2 linked regions of the Arabidopsis thaliana genome follow. The protein of the gene in region 1 interacts with the protein of each later gene in a pairwise test. Each region holds a gene or a part of one and is shown in the gene's direction. Other genes may lie near its edges.

Region 1 (6,567 bases):
TTCCTAAATGTGTCTCTCTATCTTCCATCTGATCAAGAAAATCATAAAGCATCAAACTTTAGACTTACAAACACACAAAAACCTAAATCGGTAATCAGAAACAACAAAGAAGTCTAATTTCGAATCAACTACAAGTTTCTAATCTGTTCGGCGATCAATTATTGAAAATTTAACAAAACCCTACAGAGAAAATAAAGAATCAAACACATACCACGATACAGAGGGGGTTAAAGGAGGAAGCTTTAGACGAGAATTTAACAGAAAGATTAAAGATTTTTGATTTGAATAAAGCTAAATCGCGAGAGGAGAATTAGAAAGAAGAAGAAGAAACAAATTAAAAAAAAAAGGTCGTTTGAAAAAGAAGAGTGACAGCTGGGAAATCGAATTGAATTGGTTTTGTTGGTATTGAAGAATATTCGTGAGAGAAGAGAACCCAACGAAACTTTGCTTCAGCGGTTGCGTGTACTGTCATCTACTTAAACCACTGCCACGTAGATGCCAAGTCATAATTTCGAAAAAAACGAACCAATTTGTCTTGTTGTTACAAGTGAAGGATAAATTTGCCAAAAGTCAAAATAAAATGTGTTGGTGTTGATCTACCAAAATTGTTTCAATAGTGTGTTATTTAAAGATAGCAAGCATGTGTGTTTTGAATTATGGAAAATGATAAATTAACAGCTCCATTTTAGCTTAATCACTCCACCGATAGTGATTTTTAGGAAGATACTTGCGATTATGGTATAGCAAAAGCCAAAGGATTACAAAATTTGGGATCTAATGAGGCTCTATGTTACTTACTTGTTGGTCACCTTCGTAGATTCTTACCAAAAGAATCGTAGCTTTGAAACCTTCAAAATACTTCTTTTTGGATGGTTAGAATTTAGAAGTTCATCATTTGTGCTACCTCATCCTCATAACCATACCAATCTTAACCACTATAATAAATTTAAATGCTTTGCCAATAAGAAATTCGTTGGTCTAAACCATATGATATTGACATGGTCCTTGATTCTTAGTCTAAGGTGCAAGATTCCTTAATTCTCACCACTTCTTTGTTTTCATTTACGTTTATTTTGACAGTTTACGTTTTCTACACTTCAAAGCAAAATAAATAGTGTTGCCTAAATCAATACCAACTAAACCATTTTTACCTAAAACATTTAAAATACGACACTTGTTAAAATAAAATAAAAAAATTAACATCAAAAACCCAAAATCCCTTTTATTGAACAAAGATCAAAAGCGGTAGATGAACAACTAAACGCTTTTTTGCAAGCATCGGTCAACATCAATCATCTTCCTTTGTATATGAGACCTCGTATCAGAGATGTTTCAGATAAACTCCGACCTAACCGAGCCTCCTTCGACGACGGAGAAACAAAGTTTCACCGGAAACATCTTCCGCCTCTCAGGACCATGTTCGGTCGATGGCGGAAATGGACTGTTCTTGTGGCAGCGATCTGGATCCAAGCATCGACGGGAACCAACTTCGATTTCTCAGCTTACTCTTCCCATCTCAAATCAGTTCTCGGAATTTCTCAGGTGAGGTTAAATTACCTCGCCGTGGCTTCTGATTTGGGGAAAGCGTTTGGATGGTCGTCTGGGATTGCTTTAGGTTATTTCCCTCTCTCCGTCGTTCTTTTCGCTGCGGCGGCTATGGGATTTGTTGGTTACGGTGTTCAGTGGCTAGTCATCACCAACATCATCACTTTGCCTTATTCTCTGGTACATATATATAACTACTTGAATTCGAAAGATTCATACGAAATTCTTGTTAGTTTTTACTAAGATATTGTTGCTTCAAGGATCTGATTTGAATGTGGAATTGGTAGATTAGTTTGTTAGAATCGTGAGAGAACTGCATTTGATTTGGTTTAGTAATTGAATCTTTTCAACATGATAGGTGTTTCTCTGCTGCTTGTTAGCTGGATTAAGTATCTGTTGGTTCAACACAGCATGTTTCATCCTCTGCATTCGTCATTTCCCGAACAATCGTGCTCTCGCCTTATCTTTAACGGTAAGCTTCAATGGAATCAGTGCAGCATTGTACTCCCTTGCTTTCAATGCAATTAACCCGTCGTCGTCCAATCTATACCTTCTGCTGAACTCTCTGGTTCCCCTTGTTGTTTCCTTTGCTGCTCTTTACCCAGTTCTTACTAAACCGTCTCTAGATACTACTCCGGACTATGATTCCCGCAGACATGACTCCCATGTGTTTACCATTTTGAATGTTTTAGCTGTCATTACGAGTTTCCACCTTCTCCTATCTAGTTCCAGTACTTCATCAGCGCGTTTGAATTTCATTGGAGCTGTCGTCCTTCTGGTTTTCCCCTTGTGTGCTCCTCTTCTCGTTTATGCTCGGGATTACTTTCTTCCGGTCATTAACGCTCGTTTAAACCATGAAAGCTCTGGCTATGTTATGCTTAACATAGATGAGCTCAAGAACCAAAAAACGTCCGTTTCCAGCAAAACCGGGTATGAACATATGGGGACTGCTAAGGAAGGGAACACAGTGAGGCTCGGTGATGAACATTCGTTTCGATTGCTCATAAGTAGATTGGAGTTTTGGTTATACTACATTGCGTATTTCTGTGGTGGCACAATTGGCCTTGTTTACAGCAACAATTTGGGACAGATTGCTCAGTCTTTGGGACAAAACTCTACTACACTAGTCACAATCTACTCTTCATTCTCCTTCTTCGGTAGATTGCTCTCTGCCGCACCAGATTTTATGCACAAGTAAGTTTCATTTTAGATTAAGGAATGTCTTAATGTGAAATTGAAATAACATATTCTCATCAAGAATATTGGATCTTGCAGGAGATTTCGTTTAACAAGAACCGGCTGGTTTGCAATCGCACTCTTACCAACTCCAATCGCTTTCTTTTTACTAGCGGTATCATCCTCACAACAAACAGCATTGCAGACCGCAACCGCATTAATCGGTCTGAGTTCAGGTTTCATATTCGCAGCCGCAGTCTCCATAACATCTGATCTCTTTGGACCCAATAGCGTAGGTGTTAACCACAACATTCTCATCACAAACATACCAATCGGCTCACTCTTATACGGTTACATCGCTGCCTCCATTTACGAAGCCAACGCAAGCCCCGATATAACACCAATAGTGTCTGACTCAATCGTTTGCATCGGAAGAGATTGCTACTTCAAAACGTTTGTGTTTTGGGGTTGCTTGTCTATCCTCGGCGTCGTCTCAAGTCTGTCACTGTACATACGAACCAAACCGGTTTATCACCGGCTTGAACAAGACAAGGTTTCATTAACATCATCGTACAAGGATCTTGATCCATTGTAAATCAAATCTGTAACACAAAGAAACCACAGAAAAGATAATTAGTGGAACTTATTGAGAGAAAGACACCAGTTTTTGCTTACATATTATATGAATAGAATCTTAAATTAAAATTGTCTTTAATAAAGTAATTAGATTAAAGCTTAATCACACATTTTGTGGGTTAGTCATCAAAATTGACGCGCACAGAATCGGAGCCAACGTAACTGACAAAATCATGAATTAGCCGTTGTGACGACTTTTATCATTTTCTTTCTCTCTCACTCTTATTTCTTTCGTCTCCACCAAAAAGCAAAAAATAAACCCTAAGAAGCTTGATCTCATCGATAATGGCGGATTTTGGGTATTTTTCAGATACAGACGATTCAGCAGTGGAAGAGCTAATTTCGCAAGCGAAGGAGCTTTCTGATTTGGAGCAAGTAGCTGCTATCAATTGTTCTGGATTCACCGATTCTACTCTTCCAGATGATCTCGAATCTCGCTTCCGTCGCCTCAAATCTCTTCCAGCTGCTCCACGACACGAACCGGTATCTTCATCTTCTTCGATGAATAGGCAGAAGCCTCTCTCACATTCCAAAAGCGTGAATGTGAATTTCTCAGGAAATCGAAGAAATCCAGGTAAAAAAACTGGCTCTGTGAGTTTATCTGATGAAGATTCGAGTAATCTCTCGAGAAAAAAACGTGATCTGGATTTGAAATCGAGTTCTCAAGCTGAGCTTGTCTCTAATGGAAGTGGAGATTTCTCAGATTCTGGAAACATCAGTGAGAGTAAAATTCTCTCGCCAGTGAAACAACAAACGAAGAAGAAGCTTCCTAAAGAGAAACGAAGAATCGTATCACCATCTTCATCATCGTCAATCGATTTAGCTACACCACCATCAACAGATTCAGAACCAGAAAAGAAATCGAAACCGAAATCAAAGTCGTCATGGTTCGATAAGTTATCTCCGTCGAAACTCATCGGATCCATTTGGCGTTCTTCACCGAAAAAATCAACAACCAACAAGAAGAATCTCAAAAACTGTAAATCATTTGGTGCTGCTACTTACTCTTCTGGTCGAGAGAGGAACGTTGATTTCGATGAGTTTTTATCTGATTTGAATGCGTTTCCAGTGGAAGATCAAAGGAAAATGTTGAAGAAAGCGCTTAAGGAACAACAGAAGATGAGGAAAGAAGCAGCTGAGATCATTAAAATGGCGAAACATGCATCAGCTAGATTCGATTTTGATGATTGAGAGATTTGGGAAATGTGCAATTTGGGTTTATCTGGTTTTGTTGTTTTGGTTATTTAGTTTTGAGTCCGGTTTGAAGAAATGCTTCATAGATATATAAATGTAACCAGAAATATAAATAAATCATAACTAAGTAGTATTATATTTTTGTTAAGCTTAATTATTTCAATTCCAAGTCTTTCCTAAGAATTTGTTGAAAATTTATAATTTACGTTACACTTTGTAAAATCAGAACGATCCAATTCACAAGATTAATGCTACGACTCTGTTTTTTTCTTTAAAAATAAATCAATAATCATCTCCACTAAACCTCTCAATAACTTAGCAGTCTTAATGAAATTTAAAGCTAATCTATCAATCACATTCTCACCACGTCGCCAAACTCGTTGCCGTTTCAATCTTTTCAAGTTCCCTTTCATGCTGTTTATAAACCCTTGCACTCTTTCACTCACAGACTCACTACAAGTCTACACCACAAACTTACCAAATCATCCAAAAATGGCAACCAAAACTTTTCTCTACTGTTCTCTCTTAGCCATCAGCTTCTTCTTTGCTTCCAATTCTTCAGCTAACCGAGAGAACTTAACCGTCGAGCTAATCCACCGTGACTCTCCTCATTCTCCACTCTACAACCCTCACCACACTGTCTCTGACCGTCTCAACGCTGCTTTCCTCCGATCAATCTCACGTTCTCGCCGTTTCACAACCAAAACCGATCTCCAATCCGGTTTAATCTCAAATGGCGGCGAATACTTCATGTCCATCTCAATCGGTACTCCACCGTCGAAAGTTTTCGCCATTGCTGACACGGGAAGTGACCTAACTTGGGTCCAATGTAAGCCATGTCAACAATGTTACAAACAAAACAGTCCACTCTTCGACAAGAAGAAATCTTCCACCTACAAAACAGAATCTTGCGATTCAAAAACCTGTCAAGCCTTGTCCGAACACGAAGAAGGATGCGACGAATCTAAAGACATCTGCAAATACCGTTACTCTTATGGAGATAATTCGTTTACCAAAGGAGATGTTGCGACCGAAACAATCTCCATTGATTCTTCCTCTGGCTCCTCTGTTTCTTTCCCCGGTACTGTCTTTGGTTGCGGCTACAACAACGGTGGTACATTCGAAGAAACCGGATCCGGAATCATCGGACTCGGAGGTGGTCCATTATCGTTAGTTTCCCAGCTTGGTTCTTCCATAGGGAAGAAATTCTCGTATTGCTTGTCACACACGGCAGCTACAACAAACGGCACAAGCGTCATAAACCTAGGAACCAACTCGATACCTTCCAATCCAAGCAAAGACTCCGCTACGCTCACTACACCCTTAATCCAAAAAGACCCCGAGACTTACTATTTCTTGACACTCGAAGCAGTCACCGTCGGCAAAACCAAGCTTCCATACACCGGAGGAGGATACGGATTAAACGGGAAATCATCAAAGAGAACCGGAAACATCATAATCGATTCCGGTACAACCCTTACCCTTCTCGACTCAGGATTTTACGATGACTTTGGTACGGCCGTGGAAGAATCAGTAACCGGAGCAAAGCGTGTGAGTGATCCACAAGGGCTTTTAACACATTGTTTCAAATCCGGAGACAAAGAGATCGGTTTGCCGGCGATAACAATGCATTTCACGAACGCCGACGTGAAGCTGAGTCCGATAAACGCGTTCGTGAAACTAAATGAAGATACAGTGTGCTTGAGTATGATTCCGACAACTGAAGTTGCTATATACGGAAACATGGTTCAAATGGATTTCCTTGTTGGCTATGACTTGGAGACCAAAACGGTATCGTTTCAACGCATGGATTGCTCCGGGAACTTATGAAGCAAACGTTGCCGTTAAGAGCTAGCGTTTTTATTATCTGATATTCATAATTATTGCAATGTAATGAATATTCAGTATAAATAATATCTCTACTTACTAAATTAAATTTCTTCCTAAAATCAAATAGCCATATTTAGGTCTAGGCACGAAGCAGATATCCGGAAAAATTGTGATATTTGTTATTCG
Region 2 (6,014 bases), on another chromosome or scaffold:
TGGAAGAACGATCCTGTTGACTAAATCCTCACATCACCAATAAAAAAACCAAATCAAGTTCTAACAAGTACATATATATGTTTCTGGGCAGTTCTGAAAACATAACCTTTGGAACTTTAAACTAGTTTTCTAATTAAAGGTTGATACTTTATAGCATAAAGCTTTATGGGTAGCTTAGAAAACACATGAAGAGCTTGATCTTTAATTAGATTATCTATTAAGTATAAGATTGCAGGAACTGACCTCAGTATCAAGATCGGAGGAAGAGACGGAGGAGATAGTTGGAGAAGATGGGACATGAGGATCTTGCATCTCTGTAATCGCTGGTTTCAAAGGGTTTGAAGATGTGGGAGATTGTGTCACTGAATTAAAACGAACGACGTCGGATTAGGGAGTTTCTTGATGAGAGGAAAAGGAAAGTGTTTTTGTGGATGGATAGGTGAAGAAGAAGAAAGTGACAAATGATTTGCTTTTTGAAATGATTGTGCTTCTTTAAGCTAAAGTCCTCTTGGCCATCTGTTACACTATTTCTTTCCATGTCTCAGAGAGCTTTGATATTTTTGATAAATTTGATTTAATTGTTTCTAGTTATGGGAATAATCAAAATCCTTTACAGAGACATTTTTTTTGTAAACTTTGGGTAAAAGCTGAGACATGTTGGATGGTAGCAAATTAAAATTTACGAAAAGAGGATAAATTACAACAAAGTAAGCTTTTATAGGTACTATTGATTTTTTCATAGGATACCTGAAAAAGGGTAGAGAAACTACATCTAAATTCACGCGAATACTCTGTTACGATCATGTATAGAGTTTTTTTTTGGGGTCAAACTGAATATGTTTAGAGTATATTTTATTTATTTTCTTGTTATCTGATGATATCTTTGTCTTTCTCTTATTGTCAAAAGCATATAATCCGACTTATCAAATTTTTTATTTTATAACTGACTAATCAAATATTTTTTTACTTAAAATATTATTGATAATTAGAAAATTAGATCCAAATTCTACATTTGTTCTTTTCTCTAATCTCTATAGTTTTGGATTTTAGTTGGTAACTTTTGAATTCCTGAAAGTAAATTTGGTAACTTTTGGGTAGTAATTTGATTTTCAAAAAGTTTAGAAATGCATTAAAGTGTAAAAAACGAAAAACAAAAACCCCCAAGATAAATAGTTTTTTGTTTGGGGGGTAAAAATGATAAATAGTTTGGGATGTGGATGACGTCAACATTGATCAGTTACGAGATTACGATTTTATAACTCTTTTAACCAAAGCTAATCACTTCACCCTCTGTTTTGTTTCTCCCCAATCAAAAATCTCAATCCCAATCACTTCGCTTCTAATCTTAAAGCCTTTAATTTAGTCTTCGAGCCCTCTAATGGCGGATCAGAGCAAAAACACTCCAGAGATCTTCGAGCTCAACAATGGCACCATGCAGGTCAAGATCTCAAACTACGGCACCACCATCACCTCTTTGTCTGTTCCCGACAAGAACGGTTTGTTCTCTTCTTCCTCCTTTCAATGATGATCTCTGTTTTGTCTCCAAATCCTAATCCTCTGATTATCGTCTTTGTTTTTCTTATTTGAAGGGAAACTGGGGGATGTAGTTCTCGGATTCGACTCGGTGGATCCATATGTGGTAATTTCTCTCGAATTCACCTAATCCTTGAACTGATCTCGACATAGATTCAATCAATCTGATCGAAACTCTAATCACTGCCTCTGGATCTCATGAATAGAGTCTGAATCATAATTTAAGAAATGTATATGGTCATTCATGTACCTTGTTGAATGACTTTGTGATGAACTATCAAAATAAGATGGACTTTGTAACAATGTTAATGAATATGTGTGTTTTATCTATGAATATGATTGTTACAGAAAGGGCTTGCACCATACTTTGGGTGCATTGTTGGTCGTGTGGCAAATCGGATCAAGGAGGGAAAATTCAGTCTCAATGGAGTTAACTACACTTTGCCTATCAACAAGCCTCCTAATAGTCTCCACGGTCTGTATAAACAATTCTCTTCTCTGTATACTTTCTCTATAACTTTCTGTGAACTAAATAGGATTTGGACCGTAAAATGTTACTCTATCTGTACAGGTGGTAACAAGGGTTTCGATAAGAAGATATGGGAAGTTGCAGGGCACAAGAGAGACGGCGAAAAACCTTTCATCACTTTCAAATATCACAGTGCCGATGGAGAAGAAGGTAATGACATATCCTTTCTCTAGCATTTGATTTCTGTGGGATTAGATTAGCTATATAATGTTTTGCGGTTCCCCTCCACAGGTTACCCTGGTGCGGTTTCTGTCACGGCGACATACACTCTCACGTCAGCCACGACAATGAGACTTGACATGGAAGCTGTTCCAGAGAACAAAGATACTCCCATCAACTTAGCTCAACATACATACTGGAACTTAGCAGGTCATGACTCAGGAAACATTCTAGACCATAAGATTCAGATATGGGGGTCTCATATCACGCCGGTTGACGAATACACAGTTCCTACAGGAGAGATCTTGCCTGTAAAGGGAACTCCTTTCGATTTCACTGAGGAGAAGCGGATAGGCGAGTCTATTGGAGAGGTTGGTATCGGATACGATCATAACTACGTGTTGGACTGTCCTGATCAAGAGAAGGAGGGGCTGAAACACGCAGCGAAGCTCAGTGATGCTGCTAGCTCAAGGGTACTGAACTTGTGGACCAATGTGCCGGGAATGCAGTTTTATACCGGGAACTATGTGAATGGAGTGGTTGGGAAAGGGAATGCGGTTTACGGGAAACATGCGGGTGTGTGCCTTGAGACGCAGGGATTCCCGAACGCGATTAACCAGTCGAATTTCCCGTCTGTTGTGGTTAAGGCTGGTGAGAAGTACAATCACACGATGCTGTTTGAGTTTTCAGCTTGAGTTTATAGATGGACGTTTTAGGTGTTAGATGATGGGAATAAAGGGCCGGTTCATTTGATTCACTGGGCTGGAAAAAGAGTGATTTTAATTTTATCTCTTTGGGGGAGAATAATAAAACCAAACTGTTTACATTATATTAAAGTTACTTTATTTTTTCATATCTTCTAAACATTTGGCCCATTTGTGAAATTGTGAATTGTGCAGCGAATGAATCTCCCATTGTTCACATGAACTTGGAAAAAAAGAGCAATTAGTGTATTTGAGTAATTCTGATGGCAATTATGTCTACACGCATGTCTTTTGGGCGGTGAGAAACACGCGCCACTAAAGAAGCAAAAGCCTATGGGCCCCAAAAAATATCAACCATCCATCTCTGTAATCTCTTCGTCCTCCCTTAAATTTTTGTTTCATTATTTTTTTCACTAGTAACCACGGCTTGTGTTGTGGCTTAAACACAGAAATGGCTTCTTTACCGTTCGGAGTTTCGAATCTATGCAGAAATCAGGAGGTTCTGTCTGCGTCTGTAAGGCTTCTTCCGGTTGGGCGACAAACCACAGGTTCTGTTCTCCCCCAATAATCGTTTTCGATAAAACTTAAGGATTTCAAGCTGAAGCGATTGTAAAACTCTCCTGTGTTTGTTGTGATGATGCAGGATTCGGAGCTGCGAAGAAAGTCTTATATAGATTCGAGGGACATAGATTGTCATCATCAGTAGAAAAGGGAGAGAAACAGAGAATGAGATGTAGAGTTAGCTCAAACTCTACTGAAACTGAAGACGATTCTGCTACAAAAACCAAGGTCTGCACTCCATCTCTTTGAATTTACATCATAATCTATCGTCGTAGTAGTCCTGAAGCAAACTCTGTTGTGAAATAATTTGGTTATAGACGACGCCGTTTGGTTACACGAGGAAGGATGTTATATTGATAGGAGTGGGAGTGACTGCACTTGGTATCGGGCTAGAGAGTGGACTTGAGGTAATTCTCATTATCTACATACTGATGATATCAAATGAATCTGTTATCTTTTTCTTTGTTCTTCTGAGTACTCATTTTGTGATAATGATATGGTGCAGTATGTGGGAGTTGATCCGTTGCAAGCGGGGAATGCAGTACAGCTGATACTGGTGCTTGGTTTGACTTTGGGTTGGATTTCGACTTATATCTTTAGAGTCGGTAACAAGGAGATGACTTATGCCCAGCAACTTCGTGACTACGAGTCTCAAGTCATGCAGGTTTCTGCTTTTTCGTTAATCTCTTTATCAGGGTTTATCTACTTTACCTAACATAAGTTTGGTTTGGTTGGTTGGTAATGAGCAGAAACGATTGGAGAGCTTATCGGAGGCAGAGTTAGAGGCATTGATGGCACAGGTTGATGAAGAGAAGACCAAGGTTGAGTAGGTTCCTCCATTGTGTTACTGTTACATCACCTGCAAAAGTTTGTAAAACGAAGAATAGCACAGGCTTTCAAAGTAAAAATCTAGATATTAATCTGATTTTCTTTCTTCTTCCTTGCTGTTTGTTGTATGAACGATACACACTAAAAATATACAAATCGAAGAATATTTTGGACACACCACAGGACCCTCAAGGGCTTTATACAAGATGAATCAAAACTCACGAACAAATTGAATCAAATGAATTTGAAGTTATGAACAAATGTCAAGTTCTAAATATTTACGGCTCATCTCTCACCCAAATGCCTTACGAACAATGGGAATTCTGTCGAATCTGGGTGAAGTCCATTTACTAGAGCCACAAATTTGGGTACACACTCAGGGCTGAGTAACTTGAGCTTCCATGTTACTGAATTCACTGTCCTCTTTTGGCTGCTTTGAAATGTGGAATCCTTCTGCTTGACCTTCAGTGACAAGCACGAGCTTCCTCTTGATTCAACAACCTGGATAACACCCCAATTTGCACATAAAAAACTGACATAAGCGAGAGAAAGGGAAAGAATAAACAAACTTGTTACCATCTCAAATATGTCGGAGATGGAGCAGCTTGAGTCAAGTGAGAAATATGGGGATGAAGAAGCATCATCTGTTGGCAGAAAACTCAGTTGCCTGAAGTCTTCATTGCATATGAAAAGATGTCCACCCGCCACAAAGAGTGACCGTGGAAGCCATGACACTTCTGTTCAGTTTAACACAAAAAAATTGATTAACATTATAGTTAATGATCAGTGCTGATACTGCTCGAATCAAATTACTTATAAGCTTGTCAAACCCTATTAAGAGAAATAAAGCTTCCTCATACAAGAGAGAATAATATACCTCCAAAAGTGCTGCTCTGAAAATGGAGAACAATATACTGGAATATACTCAGCTTCAAACCACTACATATTTCTTTCTCAAACAATTCCACTTGAACATTCTCCAAACTGCCATTTAAGTTTCAATACATCTCAAATCAGCAAACAGAAGAAGAATAGTAAAAGAGCTGGAGAAATAGATGATGATAGCTCACCTCTTCAAAGAAAATTTTGATTCTGTAACCTGATAATCCAAGAATTTTATGATATTGAGTAAAACTGTTGTTTTTTCAATGCTCGCCGTCATGAAAATGTACTCTGCATCCTCCCTAAAACGTAGCCTAAACCAGAAGGAAAGTGAGACATGGGCACATAATCAATTTTCAAAGCGGAGCCATGAAAAACTAACCTCACAACCTGAAGTCCTAGACCAACTGAGACATCTCGTATATCCCCGATTGTATGCGAACACAATAAACTTAAGCTGCTCTCTGCAGACACCAGGGATCAAGGAAAAGTAAATCAGTATCAACAGAACATAACACATTCGGACATAAAGAATAAGAGAAAGACAGGGAAGAGCAGTCTAACCTTGTAAATCAGTGGAGACACCCACGAGCAGCACATACAGTTTTTCTTGGCTACTCAGCAGCAACACTACTTCCCTGCATTTATAGAGTACTGTCAGGGGGAAAAGAAGAGCGCCATCCTTGTAAATGGCTTCTCAAGACAAATTTGTAGTTATAAAGTAAAGAGTATATTATTCATACATGTGAATTACAAGAGAACCGAGAACATCTCAATCTAATTCCATTGACCAGTTATTCCTTTTCAAATTGCATAAA

The links.
Region 2: the proteins of AT1G31460 (region 1) and DAC interact in a two-hybrid assay, tested with the Arabidopsis thaliana proteins (one large-scale study listed by BioGRID).

Annotation. Positions count from the first base shown.
Region 1 is NC_003070.9:11,259,686-11,266,252, reverse strand, and holds AT1G31460 (vitellogenin-2 protein), read left to right. Parts: upstream 1-3,316; 5' UTR 3,317-3,642; coding exon 3,643-4,548; 3' UTR 4,549-4,810; downstream 4,811-6,567. Other genes in the region: SGR2 (shoot gravitropism 2 (SGR2)), read right to left, coding at 1-28; NFD4 (Major facilitator superfamily protein), read left to right, coding at 1,309-1,725, 1,904-2,739, 2,821-3,316; AT1G31450 (Eukaryotic aspartyl protease family protein), read left to right, coding at 5,044-6,381.
Region 2 is NC_003074.8:6,140,609-6,146,622, reverse strand, and holds DAC (uncharacterized protein), read left to right. Parts: upstream 1-3,312; 5' UTR 3,313-3,376; coding exon 3,377-3,473; intron 3,474-3,568; coding exon 3,569-3,714; intron 3,715-3,803; coding exon 3,804-3,893; intron 3,894-3,991; coding exon 3,992-4,150; intron 4,151-4,235; coding exon 4,236-4,316; 3' UTR 4,317-4,498; downstream 4,499-6,014. Other genes in the region: AT3G17950 (uncharacterized protein), read right to left, coding at 1-20, 244-312; AT3G17940 (Galactose mutarotase-like superfamily protein), read left to right, coding at 1,379-1,496, 1,590-1,639, 1,882-2,008, 2,105-2,212, 2,294-2,916; AT3G17920 (Outer arm dynein light chain 1 protein), read right to left, coding at 4,600-4,815, 4,891-5,051, 5,192-5,298, 5,385-5,510, 5,579-5,660, 5,761-5,834.